Tribolium castaneum: one gene and its partner. The protein of the gene in region 2 interacts with the protein of the main gene of each other region in a pairwise test. Links are inferred from orthologs where the notes say so. Each region holds a gene or a part of one and is shown on either strand. Other genes may lie near its edges.

Region 1 (6,923 bases), on a different chromosome or scaffold from region 2:
GCGAAAATTGTCGAGGATACGCCCTATTTTGAGGAACCGAGGGTTGTGTCCAAGCAAACGAAGGTGGCTTTGCCCATTGAGGTGAAAAAGGGGGAGAAAAGGGAGAGCGAAGGTATAATGGATAATAGCCTCTATACCAATTACCCTGATAACGAAAAGAAGGGGAAAGACGTGATTATGGATATGTTTATAATGTCACTGGACGTGTTCCCGCCTGAAGATAAGGCTAATGAAACTGAACCCGAACTAAATAATGTAGTGGATATGGAAACTACTTTAGATAAATCACCAAATGAAAAAAATGCTCTTTCCCAAAAATCTCCGATTAAGGAGAATATGGTTTCAGTGGGTATTCAGGCAGGACCGGGGAACATACCGGTATTTGGGGTCACACCACGAAAAGCTATGTCTAAATATGTGTCTGACTATGATTTTGATTTTTCCAACGTCGAAGCTTTACCGACTTTTCATTTTAAAACGCCAGATTTGCCCACACATTTCAATCAGCCGAAGAAATTGTTCGATTTTCGTAATACAAGGCGTAGCAGTTTTAATATTTTTGCTAATGAAAACACGTTTGATCAAGTGAGGCAATCGCCGTATTTTGCTAAGAAGGCCAAAGCTAGCAAATTTGAGATTGATTCGAATAAAGAGAACTGGTCAAATGACTTGGATAATACAGTTGATTTTAAGTTTATTAAAAAAGACAATACGAAAAGAATTTTGAACGAATCACATACTAGTAAATACTTCACGCCTCAAAAATCTAAGAGTTGTAAATTAAGGGTTCAAACCCCGAAACACACCCTTTTGGAAGAGTCGCGAGATTTATTTGATAAGTCATCCGAAAGTGGGCTTTTAATAACCCTGGATGAGGAAATTGAGAAAAACAAAACTGAGGATATTGTCATAGCCCCCACATTTACGCAACATCAGAACCTTTGGTTAAGGAAAACTGGCAACGACATTACTTTTGAAATGACCGAACGCTTTGACTTTGTCCCCAAAGGCCTGTCTCCGATTTTGAAAGATTGTGGCAAAGTGGACGACATGAGCCCCAAATCGAGGCAACAGCTACAAAATGCGCTCGTACAATCGTACGAAGACGAGTTGTTGATGGTTAAGTGGCAGAAGTGTCTTGATGATGGGGGTAATTGTTTACGAAACGTTGCCTTGTCACATGAACGTGTTACAGATCCGAAGAAATTCTTCGATGAAATTTATGTGGAAAAGTCGAGATTAATCGAAAGTGAGGTTCCTAATGCGTACAATAGACATGTCAAGGATTTTGAAAATATAAGCTTCACGAAGGATTTATTCAAAAATGTTGATATTATCGGCCAGGTTGATTGCAAATTTATTGCAGTGTGGGAACGGACGAGGAATTTGGTTGTGTTGTTTGACCAACATGCTGTGCACGAGAGGGTGCGTTTGGAGGAGCTATCGGAAGGTCGTGTCACACTTGTGTAAAAACTTCAACTGAGATAATTACAGGTTACAAAAACGCATCCACGAAACTTGACCAAGACATTACAATTTTTTTGCCACAAAGTGACTTAACGCTCCTCAAGCGACAAAAAACTAATCTCAAGTCGCTAGGTCTCGTTTTGGAGTTTTTCACCAACGGGTTGACCATTTATCAAGTGCCGCTGTGTCTTTACAACAAGTCGAAAAAAGGGGTACATTTGGTTGCACTTGTTGTAGTAATTGTCACAGTTTTGTAGGTCGATATTGTGTTTTTGACTCAGACTTTGATCAAAGAAATTGTTGATCTTTTGAAAACTAACAACGAAATTATGGTAAATACTCCGAGTCTTATACAAAATATCGTCAATTCCGAGGCTTGCAGAGGTTTGCCGATTGACAAATTAATTTTAGTGTAAAACTATTTTTAGGTGCAATTAAATTCGGAGATTCTTTGACCAAAAACGAGTGTTTTGCACATTTGAAAAATTTGGCAAAGTGCAAGTTGCCGTTTCAATGCGCTCACGGAAGACCGACACTCACTCCCTTAATTTTCCTCAATCGATTCTATGATGAAGAGGTCGCAAAACCAAATTTGCACAATTTAAGAGAAAATTGATTTTTGTTATTTAATTATGTATTAATTAAAAATATATTTTGGTAAATAATAATAGATACAGTGCAATAGTGTGACTAGTGAACATGCAGTTAATAAATAATTACAGTATTTCATATTTGTTCAGCACCAAGTTCCAAAAAATGGGTTAATTTATTTAGCTATCTCTCGTCAATTGTTGCTGTTTGTATGTCTCCTTCAACATTTTTAAATTCTCCTGAAGCGAGGCCACTTCTTCAAATCGTTGCGCTTTCCGTGCTTGGTCAATATAATTCCGCACAATATTCATTTGCTCAATTAGCGGGTCCTCAGTTTCGGTATTTTCATTACTCACAGCTGCAGGTGACCAACCTGTGGTCACTGTCACTCTTTTTATGTTCGTTTTGACTGCCAATTGATTCTCCTCTTCAGTGTTCCTCAGAGAGCGTTCGCGTTTAATTCTCTCGAGTTCTTGGACAGAAGGGGGCGCTGGTAGTGTTAATAAATAGTCTTTAATGTAATGAGAAGTCCCCCGTCTTATACTATTTTGTAGTAGTTCGACTTTAGGCGTTTCTTCGTCCACAGGCAAGGATGCGATTTTTTTACTCAAAATATCAATTGATTCGGCTTTTTTGGCAATTGAAGCCCTTAAAGATTGAGTGTCTTGCAGTTGAAACGTGGTCTCACCGGACGTTAGGGAATTGTACATTTTTAAATACAAATCAACGGAGCTCTGAGTTTGGGATTTGAGGTTTTGTAGGTGGTTGTACAATTGGCAAATTATTGGTTGTCTCATTTGTTCGAGTTGCACGCGTCTGCGACTCTCGAGCATGTCGAGGCAATGGTTGCAAATACGGAGGCTGTCTGGTTCCTTACCTTGGACTTGCTCCCGGTTGTTTACGTCCACGTTGTGAACGGGGGCAACTATCGCTTCTGGAATGAAAAATTATACTGTATCTTGGTGTTTAAAAAATGACTTACGAGCCGTCTCATATGGCAAAAAATAGGAACACGCGTTGCACATAATGCTTCCACATAACCTACAATGGTGCTGTCTCCTTGTAATATTAAAACTAGACGCACATGAAGGACAGCGTGTCACTGTGGAACCATCCAACCAAGCCACCAACTCCTGCTCTTGCTGTTTACGATCCGACCCATAGAACCTCAACAACCTATCCAACCTAATAATAAGTTTATTAGTTTCGGTGGTTCGATGATCGAGTCGTTCTCTACGAACGGCTTTGAAATAATCAGTGTGACTCCGGATCTGACCGGGTTCTTGCGGCTCACTTATCTCTAAATAATACTTTTCTAAGGTGATTTCATTTTTGAAAACTTCCAAGTCTTGTTCGTCAAGTTTTAATATCTTTTTCTTGGCTTTGCCGTACAAATCTGTGAAAATTGAACGTTTAAGTGTTGAGAACAGCTGACATAACCTCACCTTTGATGGATTTTAGGATGTCTTGTTCTTCGGAATGTAAGTCTTGGAAGTGGGCAATCAGATTGTTCGGGGAACGCAAGTCTTTGTGGCAAATGGGGCACAAGAAGCCCTCTTTTATCAAATTTGCTTCAGCCATTATCGCTTTACAAACATGTCAAACTGACGTTTAATTGACATTTGACAACGTAATACGAGTGATTGAAAATGACTGTTTGGGTTGGCAACCTTGGATTTTGTTGACTGACTTCTGCTGACTGTCATTTTTTTTGTTGACGGAAATAAAAGGCGCGCGATTATCTCATGTATTTATTTACAAATTAATTTTTTAATGTAACATTATTTACAGATAACTTGCTGTTTTATTTCTTATCAAATACAGTTTTATAAATTCATTGCAATAAATTATGTGATACAGAGCTCTGTAAAAATATCATACATTCGAATGCACAGTAGTAAATCTAAAATTAATAACACCTACAAATTAGCGACAAAGTTAGATTTTCCATAACAAATTGTACAATCAAATGTTACATTAGATATATAATTTTACAATATGGTACAGTGTATTAGTAAAAAACTGCTTCACGCATACCCCGACAATAACAACATCAACAAAACATCTAATGATACAACTGTAAAGCCGGAAAAAAATACCACTCAGTATTTTTTCTCCAACTGTACGTAAAACAAGGAATATTGAGACTGGCCAACAAAAACCATGTGAAAACTTCGATGACTCTCGAGTGAGATCAACGCAAAGTGGCGATATGTGTTGAAATTTTGATTTTGATTAAATTGAGATTCGTTCTGGCCACTTATTGTGATGATGAAAAACCAAAAAAGTGATTGTTCGTTTTGTTCGTTCCTTTATCGTCCTGAAATTGTAGCCATGATGGTGGTGGTTACTAGGGTGGTGGTCTGCACAGCCGCCGAATCAGTCCTTGGTGGTGGTAAAGGAGGAAAGAGGTGAGAAGGGGTGTGAGAGCGTTTAGGGGCGGAAGCGGCGACGGCTAGTTGTGGGGGTGTTAGGGACTGGCGGGAAGGCTCTCGTCGCTTTCGAGGTAGGTAACGTAACTATCGGTGCTGTCGGGATGCGTCATGACGTCAGACGGCGGCGCTGATGAGGGCAGCATACCCGGGGGTGGGCCGGTGGCGGGGCCCATCGACGGGGGCGGCAGGTCGTACCCATGCATCTGTTGGACAAAAATTATTAGCAATATTACAAATTACGAAGAGAAAAACTTCTTTCATTAAAAGAAAAACGTTAAAAATTATCATAAATGATTGGAATCCTGACTTTCTTCAATTTATTTTCATTCGACTAGTTTCGCCTGTTACGGCATTATCAATAACGGCACAAAAACACAAACATAAAAAATTAAAACTTTGTTTTCCATACTTAATAGGTATCTCTTGACTCACTGGACGATGAAATAATAGTTCCGAGAGTTGTAATGTTTCAAAAAAATTTCAAATAAAGCGGAAAATAACATTTTGTAAAAATTTTCTTTACGTATAACAGCTTTAGCAAATATTTCCTTTGTCTCCTTCGTGCTGGACAATGGCTTGTAAGTAAATTTTAATAAATAAGTATTTAAATAGTTTGCAGTTTCTTCTTTTTTTTTCTTCGACTTATTTCTCCTACGAGTATCCGTTATTTTATTGAAAAAATGACATTCTCATATAAAATTTCTCTTTCTCAAGTGCATTTTTTTTCATAGCTACATTTCTAGATATTATTGAATAGAATAAACACTTCATTTTTGCACGAGAAGCGAAATAACACGGTATAATCTAGTTATAGAAAAATGAAACATTAATTAATTAAGCAAATTTTAAGACCGTCGCACCGCATGTAAGAATTGTCAGCCAAACAACCAACTAAGTAGTACCTATATGACGGCTTTATTAGGTATTGCAGCTGAAAATAAAAAATATTTTGTTGACTGAAAGCTATTGCCTAAAATAATAATTTTATGGATTATTGAATAGGTACCTACCTATTATGTCTAAATCACAGCAATTTATTTTACAGATATTTATATTACCTATGCATGAAATAATGTTTTCTCTTGTCTTAATTTTTTACTGTTATGCCTTAAATTAGGCGAAGCAAACAAGCAGTGATTAATTTAATAACCGATGCAAAATTTTCCTTCTGATGTAATAATAAAATAAAGTATGTGGCGATGGGGGAATTTGCTTATTACCTGGTTGACGAGCTGCTGGAAGGCCGGCTGATGGGGTTGCTCTAAGTCTGCATGAAGGGCGAAATCTGATAGGGCTTTCCATGGTGGTTGGTAAGCTTGTACTTCAAGGGGATGGACACCGATGGGTGAATCGTGTCGTACAGGTGATGACGCTACCATTGGGATACCCTGCATGGCACCGTAACCCAATTTTCGCCCATCCTGCACGTAATACTGGGTTATGTTAGACATTAAACGGGAAACATAAAAAAGTACAATTTTACAACGGTACAAACAACAACCAGAGCATTAAATATTTGTTAATTTAACTGGAATTATTCTTCAACCGCCATCCGTTTTCTCATACCACCCATAAATAACATGCCGAGACAACAAGGGGCATGCAATGAGAAGTCATCTTCTCCAAGGTTAAAAAACTAGTTTGAGTCATGTTTGCGATTTAAATGTTGGGCCAGTGAGTGCCAACCGAAAGACACGACCCCCTCTATATCCCTCAGAAAAAAGCGAAATCGACCGGTTGAGCTCATGTGTGACGCAGACGATTGGTTGACGACGAGAGGCGGGGACACGCTCAGCTGATAAGAAACGCCTCCTGAGATTTACGACGTGAACGACCTGAGAGGTGGGGGGTATTCAATTATAGACTGGGCAATCTGTTGGGATGCTACGCCACTAATCAATAATAACACGGTTGTGTGTACGGCTGTGCGACACATTGACTTGCCCCAATGGGATTGTAAAAACAAGAAACTTTCTTTTTCGACTCATTTTTAATACACTTGTGGAAAAATAAACCACGACTCTTTGGTAAAGGTACTATTTTTAGGGAGTTACGATTAGTACTCCGCGCTAAAAGTTGTAGTACAGTGAGTTACAATGTTAAGGTTTAACAAAGAATATTTGTAATGAGGTACGAGTATAATACACTAGGTATTGAGAAAATTCATTAAACTGTTTTAATGTTTGCCTTCAAATAATCCCAAGGCTTTAACACAACACGTTTTGAATTCGAATTTGACAGAAACACAAAATTTGACAGGTGCAAAATCGGCGGAGGAATACTACCAACCTATCTAATACACCAAACACCCCCCAAAAAGGTAGGTGTATTTTAGTGATTTTAAGAGCCGGTTTATAGAAAGACTTTGTTAAAATTTAATTCGTTGTTAAAAGTTAACTACGCGAATAGACCAATCAAATTTTTCAATTT
Region 2 (7,191 bases):
AGAGTATTTTGGTTGCATCCGTCAAAAGTAACCCACCATTGACTCACTCTGTATATCTCAACAACCAATTCGGAAATAAAATTAACTAGACGCCCTCTGGTGATGACTTTTGAACTATGTCGAAAACAGTAAAGAAATTTTCGTAATGCCACATTTAACTGACATTTAATGAATTGTTCAACAATTTTGCGTGTATAGTTTTAATTACTTACAATAGAAAGAATTACTTTAAAAGTACGTGGTGGTAAATACTAGCGTTGACTTTGGTTCTGTAGTTTTTCGTGGTATAAAGTGTTTATTGTTGGAACTTGAAAGTGGATAAAAAGTGAAAAATATTTAAATTTTGATTACAAAGTGTTATCAAACAGTTGTCTAATTAAAGATTATAAGTAATGGATCACAGCGGACACAAAGTTTGGCTCAAGATACCAATAAATTAGTGAAGTGCTATGAATTTTAGGTTAGAATTTTTCAATGAAAAAATCATGAAATGCTGCGGTAAATCTACAAAACTACAATAAAGATTAACAACTGCTGATACATTTAAACGTAAATTATGCCAAAAGGTAGGCTTTTCAATGTCTTTGTAATAATTTTCCAATAAAGAAAGTGAACCAAACAGTCATTCGTTATTCGTGTTTTCCTCGTCATCGCTCATTTGTCAACATAAGTTTCTTGCATCAAAGATGCAATAACCCCATTCCGCATAGGCAATGTAATAATTGTGAAGCCCCAAAATTCGTACAACGCTCAAAATATCCGAATAAACATTTTCCCGCCATTTATGGTTACTGTTTTCGACCTAGCTCAGTGGCGCCTCCAACGGTAATTTTACTTCCGAATAGTCGCACTCAAGTCAACGTTTACTGACTTTACATACTTTATATTCTTCTTCATACATGTAATTTTTTTCAGAATTTTTCTTAAATAATTATAATTAATATTAATTAATTAAGAATATAATATCAAAAAAATAAAATAAAAAATATGAAAATACTAATTAATCGAAATTTTACCAAATAATTTTGTTAAATAAGATTGATAAAATTGTAAAATAGTTATTAATGATTAGATCTCTCATTGAAAGTATAAATTACATTAGCTGTTATTATTTTGAAGTGCACTGAATAATTTATAACAGCTAATTTTGAGAGAAAATGCGACGTTGGCGTTTTTATAGTTTTGAAATAGCTAATAGGTGACTATGAGTAGAACTTATACACAATTTTTTTTCGTTATCGAGGTAAAAATAATAGATTATTAAAAATGCCATTAGTTTAATTTGATTAGTCAGATTTGTTACGTTACAAATATTGATTACAAATGATTCAAGTTGCTTGGACATAGATAAACTTACAAGTACTGACAATTAATTCCTGACTATGACTGTGTTCATTACCGTCGAATGTGTGTGACCATACAAAAAAGGTTTTCTGGACTTGTGGAATCTTTCTAGTGACTCAGAATTTGTTTAGCAGGTTATATATCGGGTCCATCCTGTACTTTTAATTAATAAAAAAGGATTGGATTTAAAACTGAACTTTGGGGCACACCTTAAGTTATGTGCGCTAAATAAGATTTTTGCTTCTTACAACTTAATACCGATCTTGGAAGTAGAAAGAGAATAACAAAACTGCATTTTCATCGAATTCATAAAAAGCTAACTTTTTGCAAAATCTAATGAAATTACTGTAATGCTTGCAAGTCTGTCACCGGCTTATTTACTAAATTACCTAACATAAAAACCTGACTGGTTGTCACACAGAATGTTTTCTGAACTTTGTTTATGAATAAATTTTTCGAAAACTTTTGACAGAGTTGGTAAACTGGTACTCACCCAATGTCTTTTCCTTGCTGAAGCCTTGTCCAAATCCCATTAGGACCTCTATAATCTGGAATTTTAGCTGCAGTACTGATTCCAGCTCCAGTGTAAACTACCAGATGTTGTGCCTGTGCTATAGCTTGTGCAAGGATTAGACATTTTTCTTTCAACACTTCTGGAGGTTCCTCAAATTCCTCTAATCTTCGTTTGGCTACGTCTCGCTTACGCCACCGCATCTGGACCTCTTCGACTACTTCAGAGCATTCATTTAATACCTGAGCTTCTTCAAAAGTTCGATCAGTCTCCGATTTCTGGAGGATAACAGAAACCTACAACGAAGAATATATTAACAGCCCGCTCGATTTACAAGCAATAAACCTTTTTCAGTGATGCGTTTCTCTCATCTTTGGCACAGAACCTCTTTGATTGCACTACTTGTCTTCTAGGTAGTCTACATCGTTTCATCATTCGTTCTTCAACGTCCATACCAACATTCTCGAGACTCTCCACAACATTTACTTCGTTTTCCATTTTAATTAACTGTATTATTAGTGTTTTTGTTGCAACATTTTACATAAACAAACTGCCAGCCCCTCACGTCCATTTTCACCTGTTTGACAATTGTTGTATTGGCATTATTGGCAATGCTGATGGCCCTAGAATAACACTAAAAACACCCGCGAAATTCAAACACACTCAAAATGCTTTATTATCCTTTTATTAGATAATCAATTATTATTTATTACATAACAACATAAATAAATAAAATATACAATTCTCATAAGTCTGTACCGAAATTAGTCAAATCTAACATTACGGATATTTCTGGTATGTTTTCTGGGTAGATTTCTCGTAGCTTGTTCAACTTCAGCTAAAAAGCTCGTAGAATTATGGATTGTTGTGCCTCCAAGAGCAATATTAAAGCTCGGATTACTTTTGTTGAAGGAATGTACAGTTAAAGACTCCTCGTAGGTTGTGCCTCCGACCATAAAAATGATGATGTCTTGAGGTCTCCCGTTGAGAAAATGATTTCCAACGTAGGGATAAAGGCTGTCTTTCAATCGTCCCTTAACCAATTCTTCAAGGGTTTCATGGATTAAAGGTTTATGTTGCGTGTATACATTATCAACTCCACTTAATCCCTTAAAGAACCGCTTCGTGCTTTGAAGGGCGTTTTCCACGTTGAGAAAATCACTTTGTCTAGCGTGTGAACCCGCATATTCCAATATATTGACAATATTCTTAATAAGACGTTCGGAAACTCCTCTCTTTTTTAGCAATTCAATAAGTCCCACCACGTCATTGTTGCTGTGATTTTGATAGCGTAACGCATAAAGCATCACTAATTTTGCAATATCTGTATTTCTAACTTTATCATTGTTTATTAGCTTCTTGATGCTTTGCAAATGTGATGAGTGGTCATTATGTGAGGAAATCTCCTGCTCAATTTCAGACACATCAAGTAGGTGGTATTTATTGACCATTGAACTTAACTCACCAACGACTGTCACATGTTTAGTAACGTTTCCTGAGAGTTTCTTAAATTGTGGATAAGCTTCAACAAAATTCTTCATATCCGCGATACTTTCAATTTTTTGGTGGCTCTTGGCTTTGGCTTGGAACTGATCCATTAGTTGTTTGATATTCTGTCCAATTTCGCCGTAATTCAGAAAAATATTTTTGGCATAAAATGGGTCCTGTTCTGCTGATAAAACCACTTCAGATAATTCTTTACCGACTCCAGGGATTCCCGATAAGTTGACGCGATTATTATTGATTGTTAATAGTTCATGTACCATAGCTTGATATGTCCACTGGTTTAGGAGAGGAGTCATTGGGTCATCTCTTCGGTCCAAAATGAGCAACAAAGGGTGGCTGTTTTGGCCGAACGCAAACAATGACGATTCTTTATTCATAACTTCGTCAATTCGTGTTCCAAGGTCTTTGCAAAGCTTTGAATTGGCTTGATATCTGATTGCTGGACTCTTCTTCAATGAGAGGAGAACAGCAACAATTCCTTGAACTGTTCTTTGGAGAGCTGTAGGGTTCCAAGACAGACTGTTCATGCAAGTTGGTAAACCTATTGAAAACAGATGAGGGTTCACAGCTAAATAATCCATGTACAACTCCTGAACTTCCTTAACAACTTCTTGCTCATCATGTTCAGCTAAAATCTTGATGTCAGCTTTGGCCACAATGTTGCTGAAGTAGATGTAGTAAGCGCCGTACTTGGGATAACGCAATTCATTACACAATAACCCAATGTTTTCCTGCGTGGGGCGGAGGAAGACTAAACATTTTAGATAGCGCAGCCCCAACGAATTGCTCTGGTTTGGTGAATCCAATCTCTCGAGCAGGAAAACCTCTTTTTGCTGAATTTCAGACTGGCCGTAAACCATACTGATGACACTGGTTGTCTCCTTGTCCATTAATAAGATTTTCATTCCGGGTTCGCTCTCTTCGGTCATTTTGGTGACATATGCCTTTACTGCTGCTATTAGGTTCATCTTTAATAACTAACTCTTGGCATAACAATTAAATAACAGAAGTAGGTAAAAGCGGCTTTATCATCTTTCTTCAAATTGGAATCGATTTTCGAGACGTCAAACTAGAGACGTCAACGTTAGTAGAACTACAGTTTTGGTACAAACAATCTACTTTCTACGGTTGACTGGAGCTACGCCACCGTAGTTCATCTGTGTAAAAAAAAAATGTGAGGTTAATTCAGGTTATCTTATTTGAAAAGTAGCCGAGAAAATGATTTTGCGATTAATTTTGCGACAAAAAAGACATGTGAATTTTTGTTATTACTGCACACAAAATGAAAAGAAAAACAAGTACAGTAGTACAATATTTTTGCCAAAAACCAAATTTCCATTGAGGTTAGAGAACAAAAAATTGGTGGAACGTGACGAAAAAATTACTACTGCAAGTAATATTTTTATGTATCTGGTTCATTTGTGATTCAAACGTCTTTAGATTGCCGAATTTGATCAGTTGTACAAGTGGCAAAGAAGTTACTTATCGGAGCCTGAGTTTGTTTTACACGATGGACCCCCATACGCAAACGGAAAGCTGCACATGGGGCATGCTCTTAATAAAGTAATAGACCATTTTTACTTTTTAGGCTTAATTATATTTGAAATTTGCAGATTCTTAAAGATACAATTTTGAGATATCATATTTTAAAAGGGCACAAGGTCCACTATGTGCCAGGGTGGGATTGTCATGGGCTACCAATTGAATTAAAAGCACTATCAAAACCTGGCGCAGAAGCATTAGAAATTAGATCTAAAGGTAAATCAACTGTGTTACTACAAATTACCCACTTGTTCCGGATCTGGTGACGAACTGACAGTGACGTAAAAGACTTGAAATGCACCAACTTAGTTAAAATTATGAAATTAGTTGTCATTTTAACAATAATAAATAATATTAGCCAACACCAATGTCGTATCTTACCGTATTATTTTTCTTTTTAAGATGGATAGAATTGCAAAATAGTTATTAATGTTATTAATGATTAGATCTCTCATTGAAACTGTAAATTACATTAGCTATCAATTTTTTGAAGTACAACTGATTTGAAGAGAAAATTCGACGTTGGCATTTTTATAGTTTTGAAACAGCTAGTATATCAAATTTCAGTTCACAATAGAATTGCAACAGTGAATTTTTCTGAGTGAAAAATAAAGCACAAATAGAGAGTTTCTGTAAAGGAAACGAATTCTGTGTTAAACTAAATCCCAGCGACACGTTTTGAAAACCCACCAAAAACTGTCAATTTTTGCTTCATTTTTGGAACCCAAATTCAAATTTACTGACATGGGATATATATCCCATTTCATTTATATGTAGTAGAATTTTGCAACAGCGCATTTGAATTTTTTGGAGTGAAATGGAGCAATTCTACTATGAATTCTAATACATATAATAAATTTTGAGGACAAAGACACAGAAATATTACTGTTATTATTAATAATTTGTTCATTATGTTATTCTTCATCTTACGTATCTTATTATATTTTTTTAAAGACTAACAGTGGATTTGAAAGACATTGTATTACGACGCCTACGGGCAATTTCTTTTTCAATTGTAAACATATATTTAATGCAAAAATTCACTCATTTTTGACAATGTCAGTTTGCCACCAGATTTGGAATACGTTCTATCGAACTGCAAGTAAAAAAATGTGGTCAAGCGTGCTGTGAAAATTTTATGGAGATAACCAAGATAACGTCAGTACCTGTCAGTCATCTGGCAAATTTACAAATTTACGAATCATTTCATTTAAAACCAATCTTTTTTATACCTTTTCTAATTGTAGCTTAAAATGCGTCAGATAAATTTCAAAAAGTATCAACTGTTTGTGCTTATAATAAATTAAAAATTATGCTTTCTGATTTGCAAATGATACGTCTGATATACAATGGAAAAAGGTGTTGCACAAACAACAAATTCTGTTCGTGTATTCTGTATAATAATTTGTCCTTTGATTAAACATAATATACGCAGGACACGAAATTTTCACAACACTCTGGACCACGTTTTTATTACTTTACTCCCGATATAATTGTTTTGTGTTTAGCTAGGAGTTTTGCAAAAAACACTATAAAGGACCAAAAAACTATTTTTCAATCATGGGGAGTAATGGGTGATTGGAATAACCATTATGCCACTTATAATCCTGATTACGTTAAAATACAATTGAAATTATTTAACAAACTCTATCAAAAGAACCTCATTTATAGAGATTTTAAACCCATTTATTGGTCACCTTCATCAAGGTAGAAAATACTGAGTTATTTTCATTTTAAACGTACTATAAACAATTTCAGAACAGCTTTAGCTGAAGCTGAACTGGAATATAATGAACATCATACAAGCAAAAGTGTTTTCGTTAGATTAAAAGTAAACCAGTTTCCTAACAGAAGCAATGAGCAGTAAGTTACAAATTTAAGCCACAGCGGAGTAAAAATGTTTTAAAGGGTTTACGCCTTAGTTTGGACAACAACTCCATGGACATTACCGGCAAACCAAACAGTTTGTTATAATCCAACTTTACAGTATTGTTTAGTAAAAAATTCCAAAGACAATTGTCTTTATATTATAGCCTCCGATTTGCAAGCAAATCTGAGTGAAACTTTAAATACTGAACTAGAAAAAGTGGAAAACTTCTCGAGTGAAACTTTGTCACATTTAACATACGTTCACCCAATTTATAAAGACAGAAACATGAGATTTGTACCATCATCGCACGCTACGTCAAGTAAAGGCACAGGTCTGGTACATACAGCACCTGCTCACGGCCCTGAAGATTTTCTCGTAGCTCTGAATGAAAAAATGCAAATTGTAAGCACATTTTTTG

The links.
Region 1: the proteins of Vps45 (region 2) and Rbsn-5 interact in a two-hybrid assay, tested with the Drosophila melanogaster proteins (2 studies listed by BioGRID). The link is inferred for Tribolium castaneum from reciprocal best matches to the Drosophila melanogaster genes Vps45 and Rbsn-5.

Annotation. Positions count from the first base shown.
Region 1 is NC_087396.1:24,289,633-24,296,555, forward strand, and holds Rbsn-5 (rabenosyn-5), read right to left. Parts: upstream 3,694-6,923; 5' UTR 3,640-3,693; coding exon 3,504-3,639; intron 3,455-3,503; coding exon 3,041-3,454; intron 2,993-3,040; coding exon 2,238-2,992; 3' UTR 2,107-2,237; downstream 1-2,106. Other genes in the region: uncharacterized protein LOC103313509, read left to right, coding at 1-1,150, 1,196-1,450, 1,495-1,679, 1,725-1,851, 1,896-2,083; tup (tailup), read right to left, coding at 4,529-4,696, 5,714-5,926.
Region 2 is NC_087394.1:20,344,810-20,352,000, reverse strand, and holds Vps45 (vacuolar protein sorting-associated protein 45), read right to left. Parts: upstream 4,467-7,191; 5' UTR 4,330-4,466; coding exon 2,620-4,329; 3' UTR 2,525-2,619; downstream 1-2,524. Other genes in the region: Sirt7 (NAD-dependent protein deacetylase sirtuin-7), read right to left, coding at 1,838-2,151, 2,201-2,353; IleRS-m (isoleucine--tRNA ligase, mitochondrial), read left to right, coding at 4,580-4,750, 4,802-4,924, 4,975-5,119, 6,412-6,610, 6,662-6,766, 6,812-7,175.